4 linked regions of the Arabidopsis thaliana genome follow. The protein of the gene in region 2 purifies or fractionates together with the protein of the main gene of each other region. This does not show direct contact. Each region holds a gene or a part of one and is shown on either strand. Other genes may lie near its edges.

Evidence for each region.
Region 1: the proteins of EMB2107 (region 2) and AT3G03960 fractionate together in Arabidopsis thaliana (co-fractionation; one large-scale study listed by BioGRID). This does not show direct contact.
Region 3: the proteins of EMB2107 (region 2) and PAE1 fractionate together in Arabidopsis thaliana (co-fractionation; one large-scale study listed by BioGRID). This does not show direct contact.
Region 4: the proteins of EMB2107 (region 2) and AT3G27415 fractionate together in Arabidopsis thaliana (co-fractionation; one large-scale study listed by BioGRID). This does not show direct contact.

The regions. Positions count from the first base shown.
Region 1 is NC_003074.8:1,022,140-1,028,427, reverse strand, and holds AT3G03960 (TCP-1/cpn60 chaperonin family protein), read right to left. Parts: upstream 4,285-6,288; 5' UTR 3,997-4,284; coding exon 3,846-3,996; intron 3,634-3,845; coding exon 3,371-3,633; intron 3,283-3,370; coding exon 3,136-3,282; intron 3,026-3,135; coding exon 2,864-3,025; intron 2,709-2,863; coding exon 2,631-2,708; intron 2,513-2,630; coding exon 2,379-2,512; intron 2,298-2,378; coding exon 2,225-2,297; intron 2,144-2,224; coding exon 2,066-2,143; intron 1,980-2,065; coding exon 1,857-1,979; intron 1,776-1,856; coding exon 1,681-1,775; intron 1,569-1,680; coding exon 1,359-1,568; intron 1,192-1,358; coding exon 1,134-1,191; intron 902-1,133; coding exon 824-901; 3' UTR 537-823; downstream 1-536. Other genes in the region: AT3G03970 (ARM repeat superfamily protein), read left to right, coding at 1-284; ECT1 (evolutionarily conserved C-terminal region 1), read right to left, coding at 4,661-4,702, 4,801-4,938, 5,060-5,272, 5,357-5,905, 6,054-6,275. UniProt on the Arabidopsis thaliana protein: Molecular chaperone; assists the folding of proteins upon ATP hydrolysis. Known to play a role, in vitro, in the folding of actin and tubulin. Contributes to stem cell maintenance through its impact on transcription factors trafficking through plasmodesmata.
Region 2 is NC_003076.8:3,088,778-3,094,533, forward strand, and holds EMB2107 (26S proteasome regulatory subunit, putative (RPN5)), read right to left. Parts: upstream 3,819-5,756; 5' UTR 3,658-3,818; coding exon 3,655-3,657; coding exon of another isoform or gene 3,651-3,654; intron 3,563-3,650; coding exon 3,368-3,562; intron 2,794-3,367; coding exon 2,686-2,793; intron 2,599-2,685; coding exon 2,494-2,598; intron 2,410-2,493; coding exon 2,353-2,409; intron 2,260-2,352; coding exon 2,063-2,259; intron 1,692-2,062; coding exon 1,592-1,691; intron 1,505-1,591; coding exon 1,392-1,504; intron 1,288-1,391; coding exon 1,130-1,287; intron 1,058-1,129; coding exon 980-1,057; intron 904-979; coding exon 629-903; 3' UTR 501-628; downstream 1-500. Other genes in the region: AT5G09890 (Protein kinase family protein), read right to left, coding at 1-65; AT5G09910 (Ras-related small GTP-binding family protein), read left to right, coding at 4,495-4,588, 4,839-4,930, 5,028-5,169, 5,235-5,539, 5,622-5,675. UniProt on the Arabidopsis thaliana protein: Acts as a regulatory subunit of the 26 proteasome which is involved in the ATP-dependent degradation of ubiquitinated proteins. Required for gametogenesis and sporophyte development. Acts redundantly with RPN5B.
Region 3 is NC_003070.9:20,103,227-20,107,819, reverse strand, and holds PAE1 (20S proteasome alpha subunit E1), read left to right. Parts: upstream 1-1,742; 5' UTR 1,743-1,871; exon of another isoform or gene 1,872-1,959; 5' UTR 1,960-2,027; coding exon 2,028-2,041; intron 2,042-2,135; coding exon 2,136-2,217; intron 2,218-2,437; coding exon 2,438-2,518; intron 2,519-2,696; coding exon 2,697-2,810; intron 2,811-2,895; coding exon 2,896-2,997; intron 2,998-3,110; coding exon 3,111-3,169; intron 3,170-3,261; coding exon 3,262-3,364; intron 3,365-3,460; coding exon 3,461-3,526; intron 3,527-3,596; coding exon 3,597-3,689; 3' UTR 3,690-4,064; downstream 4,065-4,593. Other genes in the region: AT1G53860 (Remorin family protein), read left to right, coding at 431-655; PME1 (pectin methylesterase 1), read right to left, coding at 4,362-4,593. UniProt on the Arabidopsis thaliana protein: The proteasome is a multicatalytic proteinase complex which is characterized by its ability to cleave peptides with Arg, Phe, Tyr, Leu, and Glu adjacent to the leaving group at neutral or slightly basic pH.
Region 4 is NC_003074.8:10,145,218-10,148,508, forward strand, and holds AT3G27415 (uncharacterized protein), read left to right. Parts: upstream 1-1,848; 5' UTR 1,849-2,153; coding exon of another isoform or gene 2,154-2,157; coding exon 2,158-2,685; 3' UTR 2,686-2,775; downstream 2,776-3,291. Other genes in the region: AT3G27410 (uncharacterized protein), read right to left, coding at 27-425; AT3G27416 (uncharacterized protein), read right to left, coding at 2,154-2,675.

The sequences.
Region 1 (6,288 bases), on a different chromosome or scaffold from region 2:
TACAGTACAGTGAAACCTCGTCATCATCATCAATATATGATACCTCTGGTACTACAACTCCAACCAACACAACAGAAGATATCTGTGAGAAACCAAAAACAGATTTGGATTCTGAGGCCAAACTTAAGACAGTGGAGACTGAACTAGACCCACGTCTGGGACGGAGCAAGGGTGTGTTAAAATTGGGATTGAGTGTCTTCTCTATTGCAGTTGCAGGGTTTGCTTCTTTCATGTGGATGTATCTCCAGGATGATATGATGCCTCCTCATCTTGTTCCGACTTAAAAAGTCTAAGGGATGAACATTAAAAAGCTTAGAACTTACATAGGTTCAAATTCTAGCTTAGTTCTCTTGTTCTTTTGTCAATGTGTGGATCATGTTCAAATACTAGTTTGTTTGTTTTCTTTTTCCTAATGAATTTGTCACTTGTTCAAAAGTCGAAACAACTGTTAACCAGACATATTTACATAGGTTCAATTTCTAGTTAGGTTCTCTTGTTCTTTTGTCAATGTGTGGATCATTTTCTTTTCCCCGAATGATTTTGTCACTTGTTCAAAAGTCGATTCAAATAGAAACCAAATTGACATTAATACAGAGTTAAGCCAAAAATCCTAGTAATAATTTCACTAGCTAAACCGGAAAATCTGAGTGTTGAGACGAGCCAAAACAAGGCAAAACAGAAAAAGAAGGCAAAACACTTAAGTTGGTGGTGCGTTACAAAGATCACAAATCTTAAACTGAGACATACCAAAATTTTCTCAGACTTTCAGGAACAGAAGGTTACAAAAGAAGAGAGTTTCACTACGAGGTATTTGTTCTCCGGCTTAGTCTTCCTCCGCACCAGCACCTGCAGCTTGAGCTGCATCTCTCCTTGGTCCACCTGCTGGTTTCGCCATTATAATCTGCACATTTTACATAAATTTTGAGTATAAACATGCATGTTTTAGTAGATGAGATCAATCAGTGGAACTGAATATTGAATCTAAGAGTTTTCACGAACAAGGGACTTAATCCTGGAAGATAATGCATTCACCGAACAATATCTTTTTACTTCATGTGATGAATCAACACTTTACAATATAATAAAAAATTGCTCCGTTCACCAAAGATTAAATCAAGTCAGTTTGTGCATACCTGGTCTACACGAAGTACAGTGCATGCAGCATCTGAAGCATATTTAAGGGCAAATAACCTGCACAGAGACTTAAGCGTCTTAGTTATCAATTAAAGTGAATGGTAATCTTTGTAACCAGTCAGAAAATTCTACTCCAGTTTTTATATGTTCAAGAACAACTGCTAAGCAAGTATAGAGACGTCTGATAGAAATATTTGATGGCAAAAAGACAGTCTGAAACTTACTTGGTTGCAAAAAGATCCCATACTTTTGTCTCTGAAACATCTTTACAAGCACCTTCCTCTAAGTCAATGCCTAGTTTTGTGTTTCCAGATCCATGTCCAGTGTACAGAGCGGCTATGATTTCCATCGCATTGAGGCCAGCATTATCTGCAAGGGTCTTGGGTACAAACTCAAAACTCTCAGCGTATTTGGTGATGGCATATTTGTCCAACCTGAAATTTCAAAAGCGAATCCTAAGTTCAGTCCCCAAACCATAGACAGTTTTGCTTTAAAAGCTAGCCTCACATGTTTAATTTTTGAAAAAATGAAGTAAAAGAAAGTTACCCTATTTCTGCATTGGCGTATTCCTTCAACCTTTGAGCCAACTCTATTTCAGTCGCTGCAGCCCCGGGAACAATACGGCTGTCTCTGCACATGGCCTGAAAATAAAATTGAAGTAATAACAGTCACAAATTAATGAATTATACGATATAGATGGTACAAATGAAGCTAGATATTACCTTGTATGTGTTAACTCCATCATCAACAGCTCTCTCAAGGTCGTCCAAAATGCTATCTGTGCTTCCACGCAAGACCACAGTGGAGATGGAGTTACCACCTTCCTCGTTTCTTGCAATCGTGACCTAAAAGAAGACCGAGAATTGTCTATGATTAATGAAAGACAAAAATAATTAACCAAAAATATTGGAATTGACTTCGGAGTACTTACTGTCACACCACCAATTTCCTCAACCGATATAGAATCAACATATCCAAGATCTTCAGGGCTTGGCCGGCTAAGCTTCAACTGTTTGATAATTAAAGGATTAAAAGCTAGGATAAAACCACCCTTAGATACTCATTCAGATAGCCAATTAATAACACTTACATGGGCGACAGCCCCCGCTGTACGGCAAAAACGCCTCAGTTCAAACTTTGAGCTGATTTTCAATACCATTATCCTGCCAAGAAAAAATGGGGTATCAGAATGCAGACAATAACAATAGCTAAGACGAGTATAACATGATATGGTCTACACATACTTGTAGCGCTCACAGAAATGCAATGCCATTTCTCCAATTGATCCTCCACTAACAATGACTTTGGCTCCTGATTCCGCAACTGCTTTAATCAACTCCTCAACTTTAGCTTCCTCTGTCTTTGCATAGTTCTCTAGCTACAAATCCAATATAAAAAGAGAAATTTGTCACAATAACGATTACAAATACACAACCATCTTTGAGGAAGCCATAATCGTAATTTTGAAATTTTAGAAAGACAGTAACAAATCTAACCTGCTCAGCACTATGAATGAGGACAGTTCCTTTGGTCTCTGTTGCAGTGGTATCAACGCCACCAGCAAATACAGCAACCTGAAGAAAGCATAACAAATTGATTTAGAGACATTAAGCTATCAAAAACAGAAAAGACAAACCCACAAAGCTATATTTCATAGGGGACCCAAACATTGATCAATTCAGACAAAAAAAACTTTGTCAAAAGCATAAACAAAAGAAAGAGATCTCACCTTCGCTTTCTCCATTCGCTTAATGCTACCAACAGCATCACTTTTCAAGACCATACCACGGACTATGCAAGAATTGTGCAAGCCTCCTCCCAAAAGCTTGGAAACACGAACATTATCCACATTGAAATTCGTTGGATTCTTTGGGCAGACTTGAATACATGCCTAGAAATAATATGAACCCATCAAGTAAAATCTAAATCTGCAATAAACTTGAATAAATAACAATCTGAACAACGAAACAGGAAACAAATAGATAGCAAGGAATATCTTACGTCAGTAACTAAAGAGCAAATTATTTCCTCTTGCCCAAACTGCTTGCTTGCAACAGCTGCTCTCATCCGAGAAATAACTTCATCCTTGTTACGTACATCCATGGTCTCAGAACCAGTCTCAACCAGTTGTTCCAGTATTTCAACAGCCTGCATAATCAAAATCCAATAGCATTCGTCAAATACTCAAGACAAACAAATTGAAAAGCACAAAACAGTAATTCAGGTATTCACCAACCTTGCTGACAGCTTTAGTATATCCACTAATGATCTCACTCGGATGAAGTCCCATCCTGATAAGCTCCTCAGCGTTTTGAAGAAGTTCACCAGCAAAGGAGATTGTCAGATTAGCTCCATCTCCGATTTCTTCTTGCTGAGCCTTAGCAGCTAAAACCAGAAGTTTAGCAGCCGGGTGCTGAATCTCGAGCTCATTCACTATAGTAGCAGCGTCATTTGTGACAAACAGTTTGTCCAAATGATTGATAACCATTTTATTCATTCCTGAAACATTATAAACAGAAGAACTCAGTTCTAATCCGAATCTGAATCCCTAGAAAAAGACTTCACCTTTACAGTAACAGATCAAGCTTGCTTAAACTATACACAAGCGAGATCCTACTTACAACACTCAAGTAAAAGTAAAACGAAACGGAGAAAACGAGATTCATCATTTCAGTATTAGATCAAATCCCAATCAGAGAAACATTACGAACCATTGGGACCGAGAGAGGTGCGAGTAATGGTGGAGAGCTCCTTGCAAGCTTCAATGTTCTTAATGACGGCTTCGTCGAGACCAGAGAGATGCCTGTAACCTTCTTTAAGCATCGATTGAATACCATATGGCTGCATCGACATACCCACCATTTTCTAAGGTAACGATCTATAAGCTTCGAAGTTGGGTCACTCGAAACAATAGAGCAAAAACCCTAAAAGCGAAGAAGAAGAAGCTCTGTGAGATTTTCGAAGAAGTTTAGAGAGAAGGTTTTCTGTGAGTAAAAGTGGCCGAGATTGCCCTAGAAAACTTTCGAGGTTTTAAAATGGGAGTTCACAACGGTGTCGTTTTAAATTTTAAGGGGATGGGGGCCAAAAATTGAGATCTTAAATCTTTAGGGGTGAAAGTTGTATTATATGAAAGTTTAGGGACGAATAGAGAACACCATTCCTTCTGGTTTTTGTGCTAAACGGTGTCGTTTTAACTTTTATGGTGATGTGGGCCAAAATGTGAGATTTTTGACATTTACGGATGAGAGTCTTATTATATGAAAGTTTAGGGACTAAAAGAGAAATAACTTGAAAATAACATGATATGAACTTTGAAGGAAAGCCTGAGTTTTTGTTTTATCAGATGTGCGTCCCCTTAAGAGGAACAAAAGACAATGTAAGTTTTGTTTAGATAAGCAGAGAAAACACACAGATTAAAGATGTGTATTAGGTTTTTAGAAATCCCAACCCTGAAGAAAAAACATAATTCAAAACTAAGTTCTTTTAATTAAGTCATCTTCTTCTTTCCTTGCATTGATTCCATCTTTCAACTCAAGTTAATTGTTTCCCCCGAAGCTCCATCAAGGGCCTAATATAACAAAACAATCAAAATGAAACAATCCCAGAGACTGTATCAAGAGGGGTGGTTAATGTGCTTTAGATGCAGCAGGGTTTAAGGAATTGTACCTGTTTCTTTTGCTTGATCTTCTTGTCTCTGATGATCTTCTGCCTTGTCTCATAGAACTTGTAATCATCAAGTATACATGTCTTGCTCATATACTCCTTGAAGATCTTTATGATCTTGGTCCCATGCTCCAGATTCACCTGTACCAAAACCATCACCGTACAGTTTAAAAGCCTGACTAACAGCCATAATCATTATTTATTAGAATTCAATTAGGCTTCAAACATGTCCAAGAAAGGGTTTAGGGGAAGTTCAACGGACCTCTTGAGTGTCTCTGCTATTAGTGACAGGCTTGTTCTCGTTATTCGCCAGGGTAATGTGTCTTAAGAGACTGTTTGGTATGTCTTTGATGATATGCCACTTCACAGGGAAACAACCAATCCATTTATCTTGCTGCCAATACTCCATTGTCTTGTTGAAATCAACAGGGCCTACCATCTCCGCAAGACCAACAAATTGCCCACTTGCATTCACCTGTAGATAAAACCGATTACAGTGAGTTACTTAATGTAAATCTGAAAGGATATTGCACAAGACGTGAAGTAACCTCATACTGACCGAGAACAGAAGATACACAGGGCATTCTTGGGAGTTTTCTTTGGCTTCATAATATGCAGCATTCAACTTCTTGTTGCCAGTTGGTGTGCTCGACCATGCACCATACTTAATACAGTTATGAACATCATCTTCGCTGTATGACTTGATCACAAAGAATTTTGCTTTCACAAATGATTCAGGGAAATTCTCCCCATTGTAGCGCTGGAGATCTACTGCTGAAACGTCTTGCTTCATTGCATCTAGCATTGAAGAGTTAAGAACTTGTGGATTCTTGAAATCACTACTCCTTGGTCCTCGACATAGCTCATTAAGCCTATCTGCTTTCTCATCACTGTAACCACGCCCATGATTGAAGCTTCTGGTCTTTCTATAACCATCAACGGGATACCATCCTCGCCCAAGTTTCCAGGAATCATAACCAAAAGTTCCATATGCATGACCAGAGTCAATTACATTCCCGTAAAGTCCATACAATCCATGGTTGGAATACAAATGATCATTATATCCCAATTGGTCAAAACTTGGTACTTCTTGTGAGCTGTGTGGATTCTGTTAAATAAAACAGTTGTAGCCAGTAATTAGACAAAAAAAAAATCCCAAGTCCCAGCAGAGATGACGAAGAGAACAAAACACACATTCTCTTGACTATATGAAGACAGAAAAGAGGCAGAGAGGTCATGTGAAGTAACCAACATACCATGAGATGTGAAAAGGAACTGTGATTGCTGTTGCGGTCATAACCAAACCTCGGATCAGGGTAGCCACCAGAAGGATAGTTTGCTGGGATGTAACCCCACGGGTATGAACCAATCGAGTCTCCACCATTTAGCAGATTGCCAGCATTCATGTTTGGCCTTCTTTCACTTCCATGAGAAGATGCACCATAAGGTGCATGACCATACGGATGCTGAAAAGAACCCTTCTCAGAAAAC
Region 2 (5,756 bases):
ACATCCGTCTCCGTTTCGAATCCGCGACCAGGCTTGACGCGAACGGTTCCATCGGCGCCGTCCATAATCTTCAAGCAGAGATCGTAACAATACAAGTAAGAGAGAGAGAAAGAGAGAGAGATTTTTAGAGAGCCATGGAAATTAAAAAGGAAGTAATCGAGGAGAGATCTAAGGAGCTGTCACGGTGTTGGTGAAATCCCAAAGACGCCAGAACGTGGACTATTTACCAGAGATGAACTGGCAAAGCTGTCTCCTCTCTATTAAATTTAATCACATTAATTAACAACAATAAACAAATTTTATTAGTTTTTTTTAGAGTATGGAAGACTATACATGTGCCAGTGCCATCATAATTTTAGTTTTTATTATTAACTTGCAATCTTTGATGAAGCAATTTTTTATCGTCTGACTTTTTGTCAGCGCAAGGTTTGGATCTATCTCCTGGGGCACACACGAGATTATTCTTCTCGTTCAGTAAATTCATGTAAATTTTCTAACAATTTAACCAAAAACTAATCCACCAACACTTGAAATAACCAATAAGTGGCAAAACACTTCGTTAGTGTACAGATCCATAGTACAATTTTTAAAAGGAAACACTGATTCGAGTTTTTACCACATAAAGATGCTAATAACTCAACGAAGAAGATCCTGAAAAGTTTTCATGAAGAAGACCGCATGTTTTCAAGGTCTGAGAGCGGCTTTGTGAACCATGGTTTCCTTGTGAATTTGGTGGCAACTCTTTTCCACAAGATCTAGAAGCTTCTCCAAATTCCCTGCCCACGAGTTTAGAATCTCGTTGCTGTCCTTTGCGATCTGGAAGCACACAATTCCAGATGGTCTGTCTATTTTTGCAATCAGTGCTTTTGACACTACCATCTCCGATAGATGCTTCTCCGCCTCCTGAAATCACAATTTCCAACAATTATAACAAGCAGAAGCATAGTTGATATAGCCAGTGAGATTAGATCAAACATACCTCCATGCTCAGGCATAAAAGCTCGGCAAGTCTCTTTAAGGTTATCCTTGCGTAGTACTTTGAGACAACGAGGATATTCTGCAGAATAAATTAATAACTTTAAAGCATCAATCAACTTATGTAAACAAGCTTAAAGACAAATTGAGAGACTTACATGTTCGATGATTCTCAGTTTCAGATCTTCACCAGCTTTGTCACCCAAAGAACCTCCAATCATGCTTTTCTCTTTCTCGAACTCATCCTTGTATTTGTTCCACAGAGATGTCCATTGAATAACCTCCATTGTCACTACCTGTTTTAGAAGCATCCTGAAACGGGTGATATCAAACAAAGAAAAAAAGACTGAGAACCCATTTGAGTACAAAAGAATCAGTTATTGAAATAACAAAATTTATCAGAAAATAAAATATACTTGAAATCAGGGATTTCTGATAAATTCTTGTCTTCCAGAGTTGCATTGAGCAAGCTTGATTGCATTGGGTCATGAGGTGCCAAGACCAAGAACCAGCAGATCTTCCTCAGGACCTAATGTTTTGAAGATCAAAGAAAGTTATTACACTAACCCTATAGAATGTATACTAACTATACATCCAATCAACGGCATGAGCTTACCGGAATCCACTGCTCCGGAGTTTCTTTTACTGAAGGGATATCATATATCGCCTTGTAGCTACGGCAGATTTCAATGTACTCATTGTTATGAGAATAGTACCTACATAGTTGAAATTTTTTATGGTTAATAATAAAAAAGATGAGAATGCCACAGAAATCAATCATGGTACGTCAGAATTCAGTGGATAACATAATGCAATTGATGTCCAAAATCGTTGGCCATGAAAAGAGAGTCATAAATTTGACACAAAAGGAGATTCATCCAAATTTCGATACTGTCCTCCAGGAAAAAGTTGTAATATGCATCTCTGAGAAAACCATAGCAAGCAAAAGCCACACAGATTGATAGAATTTAAGAGACAGAGAGAGAGGTCCATAATTAAACAGTCATATAAGAATTTAAAATGCCATGATAAATGATGGAAATACAAATCACGAACAATGTGATAGAGAAGCTCAAGAAGGCCGTACCGAATCATAAGCTCGTAGTAAATTCGCTTAAGCTCCAAAAGGGTTGGTATATCAGCAGGAGCCTCTTCTACCATGTTATCACCTTCCTTAGGTTTCTTCTTATCTTTTTTTGTATCTGCGTCAAAAACTCTAGGATTGATCTTCCTAGATAAGATTTGTGCACGAACAAAATCTTGACGATCCAAGCACAAGCGAACCTTTAAAGTTTGACCACAATAGTTTGATAGTTATCACAATGAAAGAAAACACCAGCAAATTATTAATTGCAACGTAACTACACAAGTCCTTACTTGTTCAAGGATAAATGCAATTTTCTCAGTTTTTGCCATAGCACCAAATGTCTCCACCTGTTAATTATTTATCAAATTGCAGGGGTTAACAAGGGAAGAAAATTTCCAGGAGATTTAATAGCCAAATGCACAAAATCTTACAGCAACTTCTTGCATAAGATCTGCAGCTTCAGCTATCTGACCCTGTTCTTCCTTAATCTTAGCAAGTTTCTTGGTGAGACGTGCCCTCTCGATTTCAACATATATCTATACATGTAAAATGCAATGGTAAACAATTACACAGAATGATGAAGTTATTATAAAGAATACACCATCAGTTTCATAGTTTCGCACCTTTCCAGCAGATACATTGTTCAGCGTCTTGATAAGCTCTATCCGAGTTTCAATGTCTGGTGTCTGATCGATATACTGCATTGCTTGCTGCACCATGGATTGCACAGCCTGCAAGTGGAGAAGTTCACAAAAAAAAAATCAGTGATGTTGACTTATCACTTTGTATCCTTACTTTTAACTATAATTTTGTACATGGAAAGGTGAAGCTAATTCTGTCTGAAGTAACTAGACCAAGAAAACACGCAAAGCAAAAGTAAAACCAACGAAACACTGAAAATCAAACTAAGTTAAGTAATAAACTGAACTAAATACAAACATCACTATCTGCAATGACCCAATTTAGCTTTAATATTTGAGTCAACAGTGAATCTATCAAAATCATAGAGAGGAATCGTAAAAGCAACCTATCACAGGACAACATCCCACAAAAAGAAGCTTGTATCCAACACAAAGTCGAATCCTCCTGAATTTGTGCTAATGTCCTTAATCTCTTTCCAAGATTAGGGTTACCAAAAACTAGGCCTATGCAATTCCTAAGTCAAATGTGGAACAAATCACATTCAAAACTCAAACAAAATATCCAACTTAAACAAATCCTTCAAATTATCCCAAACCAAAAGTTCATGTTCCTTAAGAGCTTAAACCACAAACACTGATAGGATATAACCAAAATTCCAAGTACCTGTTTGAGCTGACCACGTTTCTTAGAGAGATTGAGAATCTGCTCATTCAGAAGTTTCCAATCCTTAGCATCGAAACAAAGCTGAAGAATCTCAGTGGCGGCTTTCCTTGTACCGGCTACGTTTTCGGCGAGTCTCATCTGCTTCTCTTCATTCAGAAGCCGATCTATCGTTGCCTCAAGCTTCCCGCTGTCTCCCTGAAATACAAACTATGACGGAATGAGAAGATGCAAAAATTTCGAAAACGAGAAAAAAACTTAATATCAGATCTGAGTAATTGAAGACTCGCCATCGTGAGAAATCCAACGAGAATCAACTCAAAGTAGTTGAAATTCTGGTGACGGAACGACGAAGCTTTAAACTATGGAGAAAGAGGAGACGGACGAGAGAGATGAGAGAGCTTTTGGGAGTAGCTGAGCACAGATAATTCGCAGAGTTCCCAACCCCTTGAACAAGAAATCTCAGATTCTTCGGCCGATGGATCTTTTTACATGGGCTGCTAATGGGCCATTAACTAATTGTTTTGAGTCAATCAGGTTTGGTATGTAATACCGGTCTAGTTATATGGTATGGTGTTGGTTCAGAAGTATCGAACCGATCCCATTGATTGAACAAACTCACGTCGTTCGTTCTTCCGCCCAAATCTCATGATATCTTCGAATTTTCGTAGCGAAACCAGAGATTCTATAATGTCGATCGAGAACTCCCTGTCTCGAGATTCAATGGTTTACCTTGATTACTGGAAAGATCTTTTCTGAATTTTTTTCATCGAGGAGAAGAACGTTAAGGAGGAAGAAGGTGAATCTTACTTCTGTGAAACTCTTATTACGCTCTTAGAATTCGAATATTGATCCTCTTACATATTCCTTAGATTCGCTGCTTACCTCCATCAATTGTGTTAACTTCGGTATTGGTTTCGATTTGTGCTCTAGAGATTATTTGCACTAGGAAGGTGAAGGAACTGTAGCCGAGACTCTGTTTTGCAATGTGCAAGGTGATGGATTAGAATAATCTGCTTACAGCTAGGAATCAGAGTTTCGAAATGATGATTTCTGGAAGCTTCTCTTTTGGTCGAAGACGCGACTATGGGACTTAATTTCGCAGTGCCGATTTTGCTGGAGTAATCAAAATGCGGTTTTGGAGGGAACGTGGCAGGGAAAATAAGGAACATATGGTAGCGCCATTATGCGGCCAAATTCGAGTATTGGTGGTTGGTGATTCAGGTAATATTAACAAATTCTCGTTTCCATAGATTTGGTAATGGTTCTAGCTTTTTAAGTAGCCATTTAATGGAACTAAAGAAAGTTTGTCGTAGTGCACAAACTCATCCTTAAAGAAGGAGCTAATGAGAAGATTTCTCATGATGATTGGATATGAGTTTCTACTTGTGGAACCTAATAAGAGTCAAGTTTCGTAAGTCTACTACATCTTCTCCACTATTGAGCAAAGTTTTATCTCTGGATATCAAATTAGGTGTGGGAAAATCATCTCTTGTGCATCTCATTGTCAAAGGCTCCTCTATTGTTCGCCCATCTCAAACTATTGGATGTACAGTTGGTGTCAAGGTAACTTAAGCTGTTCTATAAAAAAAATTCTCGATATGGTTAAAGAGAGCATGGGATAAGTTTCCCTACTTAGTTTCTGGAACTCTCTTTGGTGCAGCACTTAACTTACGCAAGTCCTGCTAGTTCTTCAAGTATCATTAAAGGTGACTCAGAGAGAGATTTCTTCGTCGAACTTTGGGATGTTTCAGGTCATGAACGATACAAAGATTGCCGCTCACTGTTCTATTCACAAATCAATGGTCTGTCTCAACAAATGTCATCTCTGTCCCTGTTTTGTCACTGATGCGACTGTTTGATTATGCAGGAGTTATTTTTGTTCATGATCTTTCGCAAAGGACTACAAAAACTAATTTGCAGAAATGGGCGGGTGAAGTTTCAGTAACTGGGGAGTTTTCAGCTCCCCTTTCTTCTGGTGGGCCTGGTGGTCTTCCCGTCCCATACATCGTTATTGGAAACAAAGCTGATATTGCTGCCAAAGGAGGAACAAATGGAAGCAGTGGCAATCTTGTTGATGCAGCTCGTCATTGGGTTGAGAAGCAGGGTCTGCTTCCCCATAGTGATGAACTTCCTCTCTCTGAGAGCTTCCCTAGCAATGTTGGTCTCATAATGGTAACCACAGACTAAATTACTTGCTTTATTTGAATTTAGTGTTATGCGGTATGTCATATAATTTTGGTAAAATTATGCACAGGCTGCCAAGGAAGCTAGATATGACAAAGAAGCTCTGACCAAAATTTTCCATATGGTTGGTGTCATTTCTGACCTTGCCATGTTTTACAATAGCTCTCTCCCTCTCTCTCTTTCTCTTCAACCTAATGAACGTTTT
Region 3 (4,593 bases), on a different chromosome or scaffold from region 2:
TTGGGATGACATCTTTGTAGCCTGTACTTGTAATTTGTGCAAGTCCCATGTGAAAAGATTGATTTACTCTCTTGGGAAATTGGAGTCTTAGATTAAATTATCAATCATCTATCATCTAGCTACATAATTTGGATTAAACTTTAAAAATAAATGTAGCTATATTGAAATGATTAATTTTCAAGAATTAATGTCTGCGATTTTGGTGGTTATGTAGTAGCTACATGATAGTCGTACTTGTAATTTGTGCAAGTCCCATGTGAAAAAATTAGTAATTTCCTCTCTTGAGAATTTGGAGACTAAAATTTAATTATTAACTATTAATCATAATTATCTAGCTATATAATCATAATTAATAGTCCATAAATGTAGTTGAGTGATGAAGTTTTAAATAATTAATGTGTGATATTTGGGGTGGTAATTATTGTTGTAGGTGAAAATACAGAAGATGAGATCAAATTTAGAGGAGAAATTAATGAAGAGAATGGATATGGTGCACCGGAGAGCAGAAGATTGGAGAGCTACGGCGAGGCAGCAACATGTTGAGCAGATGCAGAAAGCGGCCGAGACGGCGAGGAAATTGACAAACCGCCGAGGCTATTTGGTTACCGGCCGTAGCTCATGTGGTTGTCTACCTTGCAATAATACTTGTCATTAACTCAGTCAAAGTAAAAGAGAGTAAAATACACATAAACAAACACAAGAAATTACTGTTTATGTGTTTCAATTATCAACATGTATGTTCGTTTATTGTTTATGCAAGAAAGTAAAAAGCCGATATGGAATAACGAATCGCAAAACTTCTTTTCAAAAAAACGGATTTTTTTCTGTAAATTAATTTGCAGAATTAAACGAAAAAAAGTTGAACATAGAATTGTAATTTTGTGCGTTGAACTTGAGTGGTATAAAATAAGTGTACTAGAACTTTTTTTTTCTTTCATCTGAAACTTGTTTTGGAACCATGGTGAAATACAAATTTCAAACAAGGGAAGCTAAGCCGATGGACGAAAGAAAAGTCATCGGAAACTAAAGTCGACGTACGAGAGAAAAGTCCTTGAAAACTAAAGCTGGAGGAAAACGTAAATTTTTTGGAGTCTAAAACCCTATAAAGGGGAAACATGAACACATTACAAAACAGAAATTTTAAAGCCTAAATCGAAAGAGATCGAAACCAAAACCTAAACATAAGTGTACTAGAACAAATCACTAGAATATATAAGTTTTTTTTTTTTTTTTGGAGTTCTAAAATTGGTAGGAAAAAACACAAACACTAGTGAAGACTATTTCCATTAATATATATAAGGAGTTTTGTTCTTGTTGTCTTTTAGTAACGAAATTCGAATAGTTGTTATCATGCAAAAGTGTTTAGAGAAATAAGAGAGACTGACCAAAGACAAACTTTTGCGTCTGGAAGGAGAAGAAGTCTCGCAACAAGTCACAGCTTTTCATCGTTCCCATACTTTTACGAGACAACACTCTTTCAATTATTTTGTACTTTTCTGTTTGGTTTTATTCACTAAAACTAATTATTTCTAAAAAAAACATTTATTTGTGTACAGCAAAAAAATAATAACCTGGACTGCCAATTTTTGTCTTTTTCTTTTATTGTTACACTTAACTTCTGACATTGAGATAAATTGGAACATGTTCAAATTCCAGTCAGTTCTATAGCTGTCTCATAATTTTTCAAAAATACAAAGAAAGGCCTAATTGGGTGACCCAGGCTTAATATAGTTAGGCCCATGAAAGCCCATTATAAAAAACGCTGCGTTTAGAAACAATCTAACTTGTTCTTCAAGAAGAAGTGCGTCTTTGAAAGCTAAAAAGAGAGCAAAAGCTTCTGTTTATTCTCCGATTCGCAGATCAATTAGCTGGTTTGATTCTATACTCTCAACAAGTTCATTGTGATGATTTTTATTTTCTCTGAATCTCTGGATTAACTCAGATCCGTTGTTTTTCTAGGGTTTTGATTCCGTTGTGCGAAGGACTTTAAGAGGTTTTGCAGATCGAAATCGGAAGAGAAGAAGAAGATGTTTCTCACTAGGTATCTCTATCTACTTCTGGGTTCATTGAAATTTTCTTCCTTTACTTCAATCGTTTGTTTTGCTTATGGTGGTTTCTGATTTTGTTGTGCGAAGAACTGAGTATGACAGAGGAGTGAACACTTTTTCTCCAGAAGGAAGGCTATTTCAAGTGGAATATGCCATTGAAGCTATCAAGGTAACTTTTCGATTCCTCAATTTGTTAGTTTCCTATGGAAATCGAGAAATTTTGAAGAAAGGGTAATGGTTGATTTACGGTTTTCTTTGATTGCTTTAGCTTATTTGCACAAGTTCTAGCTCACATTTCCTTGTTTAATCGATGTAGTTTGCATTTCAAATTTGTAAAAGGGATTGTTGAATTTTGTTGAGACTCTGATGAGTGTTGAATTTTGTTGCAGCTTGGTTCTACTGCAATTGGAGTAAAGACAAAAGAAGGAGTTGTGCTTGCTGTCGAGAAGCGTATCACGTCGCCATTGCTGGTTTGCTTGCTAACTTTGAATTCTATGTTTTTCAGAATTTTTCTTGTGATTCACTATTTTGGAACAATTTGAATTGAATCTGATGATATGATCAAGCAGAAGCATATAAGCTTTCTATGTTAGTTATGGTGATATTAGCTTTCTCAGTATATGTTAAATGCTTTTTCTTTTTCCCCAGGAACCGAGCAGTGTGGAGAAGATTATGGAAATTGATGACCATATTGGTTGTGCTATGAGCGGTTTAATTGCTGACGCGCGCACACTTGTTGAGCATGCTAGAGTTGAAACTCAAGTAAGGTTTCTGTCTCTAGGGTCTTTTCTTTTAGCTTCAACAGGTCTTTTATGTGTTATTGACGGCTTCTTTTGCTCTTGTACAGAACCATAGATTCTCGTATGGTGAGCCGATGACTGTAGAGTCCACAACACAAGCACTGTGTGATCTGGCTTTACGGTTTGGTGAAGGAGAGGAAGAATCAATGGTAATAATCAAAATTGGAATTACTGATTAGAACAAAACCTTGATAAGTTGGATATCCATATTTAGTCGTTGTATTGTGTGTACTGATTCTCTTTGTCATTAATGTGACTACAGTCTCGGCCGTTTGGAGTATCTCTTCTCATTGCTGGCCATGATGAAAATGGACCAAGCTTGTAAGTTCTCCTTCAGTTGGATTTCTTCTACTGAAATGGTTCACTTGTGTAAGTTAGTTTATCTTCTTGTAAATGACTCTGTCTTGTTACAGGTACTACACTGATCCTTCAGGAACATTCTGGCAGTGCAATGCAAAGGCAATTGGTTCAGGTTCTGAAGGAGCTGATAGCTCTCTTCAAGAGCAATTCAACAAAGTAACTTGAACTTTTTCCCAATTGTTTTTCAATAAATTATTTGATTACATCACTTTATTTGCCATTAAAACCTTTAGTTTCATTAACTTGTTGCAGGATTTGTCTCTACAAGAAGCTGAGACTATCGCTGTATCTATCCTAAAGCAAGTTATGGAAGAAAAGGTACAAATTTTACAATCCAAAACTGTAAACAGAAGTTCTTGCTCAATCTAATTGTATTGGTTGGTGATAGGTGACTCCAAATAACGTGGATATTGCCAAGGTAGCACCAGCTTATCATCTCTACACTCCACAAGAAGTCGAAGCAGTCATCGCTCGTCTTTGATTGAAAAAACTCAATTTGGGTAATTTACCTATCAGCTTGTGTCACAAAACTTGTTACTTTTGTCTGTTAGATTGAGGATCATGTCACATTTTAGTCGGTTGTGTAAGAGAATCTTTTGGCTCCCATGTCATTCAATAACCTTTCGGATTTGTGACTTATAAAATTTCCTTTCCTACCACTTACGTTTTGTTACTTGCTCTTCGACTTGGCTTTGTCCTGACTATATGGATAGATTTATTCTGGCTTGCTCCACAAGTTAATCTTGTTTATTCTGGTTTTGTTTAGTGTGGATAGATTAGTATTGAGTTAGATTTTTGTTTAGGAGCCGGCTCCTAATTAATCGCCATCAGATAATTAGATTTTTATCGGATTTATGATCATCCCGTTTGTTAGTAACATCGTCGACAATGTCCCGATGACAAGGATATGAAGGTGAGTAATGGTTAGTAACAGTATCATCGTTGTGTTATAATTCGAGTTCAAGGTGTGAGCTACAAAAAGCGAGTAGCTTTGATAGTTCTACATCAAGAAGATATCGTATTAGGGGATACACAAAATACAACTATGTTGGAAAAAATTACAGATCATGCATAAGTGTCAAACAAATATAAAGTAGATCACAACCGGATGTTTTCAAAAACAAGCTACGAATCCAATTGTATTGTCACTATATTAAGATAGCTGATTGATCACTCCTGTTGCCGGTATCCAATCAGCTCCGTGTAAAAGCGTAGCCACTGTAAACTTCGCAGCCTCGGCGTCCGACATAACCGGTTTATATCCAGCCCATTTAACTCTCTGCGTTACATCTGAACCCGGGCCCGTATTCTTATACTCTCCGTAGACAATACTTGCTGGTGGATCAACTCCAGAAACCCATGACATCCACCCGGACGGTCGAACC
Region 4 (3,291 bases), on a different chromosome or scaffold from region 2:
ACAACATATCATTAATCTTCTCCGTTTCAAAAGAAAAATAAGCTGGCTCCTCCCATCACAACAACAATAGCCAAAACGGTTGAAGAAGATCTAGAGGCGGAGCTAGATGTCGAGGTTTTGACATCCTGATCCGCTTCAGATTGAGCAAGCGTATCGGGGGTTCCTCTTGGACTAATGGGCGCGTAATCCCCCACCACCACAACACCGTCTGGTGCAAGTTCTAAGGGGATTTCGTAATCCGGATAATCTTGAGATGGACCAAGACTATCAATCAAACTCTTTGTAGAGTTATCTACTGTTGGTTTGTTGTCAGCAAGAGTCTTTGATGAAGATGGCGATTGAGACTTTTCAGAATCAGCTGCTGAAATTCCATTAGCCACGGTTAGAATTACGAAAATGAAGACAAGGAAGAAATGACTCGCCATCGTATAATTTGTAATATAGTACGTGATGATATATTGATCCCCTAGGCTCTTTTATTCAAATGGACCTTTGTGGGGTTATAGTATTGAATTGTATATACGATGATTTTCTGTGAGGTTCACAAAAGTAGATCGATTAAACAATCAAGGTGAATTGAAAGTGAAGGAGAAATGGAGATTGGGAATTTAAACTTGTAATGGAGATGGTTGTATATTGTTATTTACGGTTAGGTGTTGTGTTTCATAACTCACATACGAGTTCACGAGCTGTTCAATTTTCTATATCTATAAGAAAATGGTTACAAGTTAAACTATGTTTAGAATATGGTTAGGGTATTTTTAACTAGTTGTTTAAAGAGCCGTCTTTAAGTATTTTAAGACGACTAAAAATAAAAAGGCTGTTTTACACATATTGATAATAAATTATTATTTATGATTAAACTAAATATAAAACTGGATATAGTTTAAACATTCTAAAAAGGAAATTGTTAAAATTAGCGTTTCTAGTGACTCAAACCTTAGTGTTGAAGATTATTTAGAACCAGCCTTTACCACTAGACTACCTAACAAATACAAAATTATAAAGCTGAAATTGTTTTTATAGTATTTGCGGCCGCAAGTTTGGGTTTGGCACGCTTGTGCTTGTGACCGGTTTGTAAGTGTATGTGAGAAGTGAAAGCTATATAAAATCATATGTATTTAAACGTATTTAGAGCATCTCCAATGAAAAGAGTTCCTCATAGGATCTCTCTATTTTTTTAAGTATAAATTTCAAAAAAAGTTAAAAAGAGAGCTTTAGTATTTTTAAAAAAAATTCATACTCCAGTCAAAGTTTCTCTTAGTGGGGTTCTCAGAAAAAAATATATTATTTTAAAATTTTTTTATTTAATAAGACTTAATAATTATTGTAATTCATAACATATTAAACATACATTATTTTGAAATATTTTTTTAAAATAGATGTGCAAAAACAAAATTGAATATATTATCAAATTGTTGATCGAGTAATTGATCAAAACTTTACTCTATGACATCGTAAAATGGAATACGGGACGAAAAAGCCATATCGTTTGATAGCTTGTGGTAGAAAAAGAAAAAAAAAATTAAAGAATGAAAACAAAAAAATCTCTTTATTTTTTGTTAAAAATATGCGTCCAATCACAAGACGACAAGTGTCAGACTCTATTAAATTCTCAAAGCTCTCTAGAGAGAGTCAATGCTCTCAATTATAATGAGTTTAGAAATATTTTTTTGAAATAAGTGAGAGAGAATTCATCAAAAAAATAAAAATTGAATAGAACTCCCCATTGTTGATATTATGGTTCTCTTCTTGTTGTTGTTGATTTAGACTATAATTTGTAACGCTATACCTAATATATGTGTTGCTCCCCATTGTTGTCCTTAAGGAGATGCTATATACATATAGATACTAGCCATGCAAGGATCATTAGAAAATGAATGTGATTAAATTACAAATAGACCCTTCGAACAATGAGAATCTCATGGTTATTGTTATAATGACTAAAGATTACATAAACATAAATAACACAAACTAAACATTTGTAACAACATCAAATATCCTAACCTCCGTACTATGCACGAATTTAACGTGTGAAAAATCGGGCCGGAGAACAAACTGTTTTAAAATAAACCCAAAAATTGAAATATGAAACGTATAATATAATCTTAAATGTAGTATGAAATCTCCAAGAAAATACTAGTAATATTCAATCATATGAAGAAAAGCCATGCAACGGCTGCGAGAACAGAGCCCGAGACAGAGATCACAAGCGATGAGGCTCCTGCCGCAGGAGCCGAAGCTTCAGGGCCGTCACTGGCGCCAGTTCCGTCATCGGAAGATGGAGACATTTCTGGAGTCGGAGCTGGCGGAGAGGAGGCGGTAGGTGCGTCAGAGGAGCTGGTAGGACCTTCGGAAGAATCACCGGAGCTTGAGTCAGGGCTTGAAGCCGGAGTTTTGGCTGATGATGACTTTGGAGATGGGGAAGATGGGGAAGGGCTTGGAGTTCCGGTGGAATTTTTCTTGGCCATGGTTGGAGCAGCTGTAGGCGGTGAGGTTGGGGCGGAGGCCGTGGGTGATTTTGGGGATGCTGCGGCGGCGGGAGAAGGAGAGGTAGAGTTCTTTTCGCCGTTGGCTTTCGGTGCGTTTGCCGGTGTTGGAGGATCGGCGGCCAAGACGGCGGTGATGGCCAAGGCAGCCACGGCGAGAGATAGGAGTTTAAGTGTCATTGTCATTTTGTGGTGAATGTGAATTGCTTTTGTGGTGATTAATTATGTATTTTTGTGGTTTATGATTAGTGCTAAAAAAGATTAAAAAGAAGAAAAGAGTTATTTTTGAGAGATTAAGGAAGAGGTAAAATTTAATTTATAGGGAATTCTACAGATTTGACCAAAGTTTTGGTTGACCGGGTCCATCGGAACTTGTCTTAAAATTTTATTGGTTTGATCTTTTGTTAGTAAAAAGAGAACATGTGGTAATGATAATTCCCAACTTTCAAGAAACAATTGAGAACACGTGACTATTGAGATTGATTTTGTGGTAACTAAATGAGCACTGTTTCAACAAAAGTTAATTTTAATTTAAGCTATACAAAATACTAAGAATTAAAACTTGATTAACGTACCAGTTAGTCAATAACTCAATATTAAGTGGAAGTTCAATTGTTCAATACAAATTCATACACGTAACTGAAGAAGCACATTTAAAAGTCAACGAAACATTTACATTTCGTAAACTAAAAATAAATAAATCTACTGCAATCTTGTGAATGAGTCTAATTAGAGATGAGAAAGTAAACTGAGCCCAAAATAAATAAGGCCCATTTAAAATGTAAGGCCCATGATAATACTC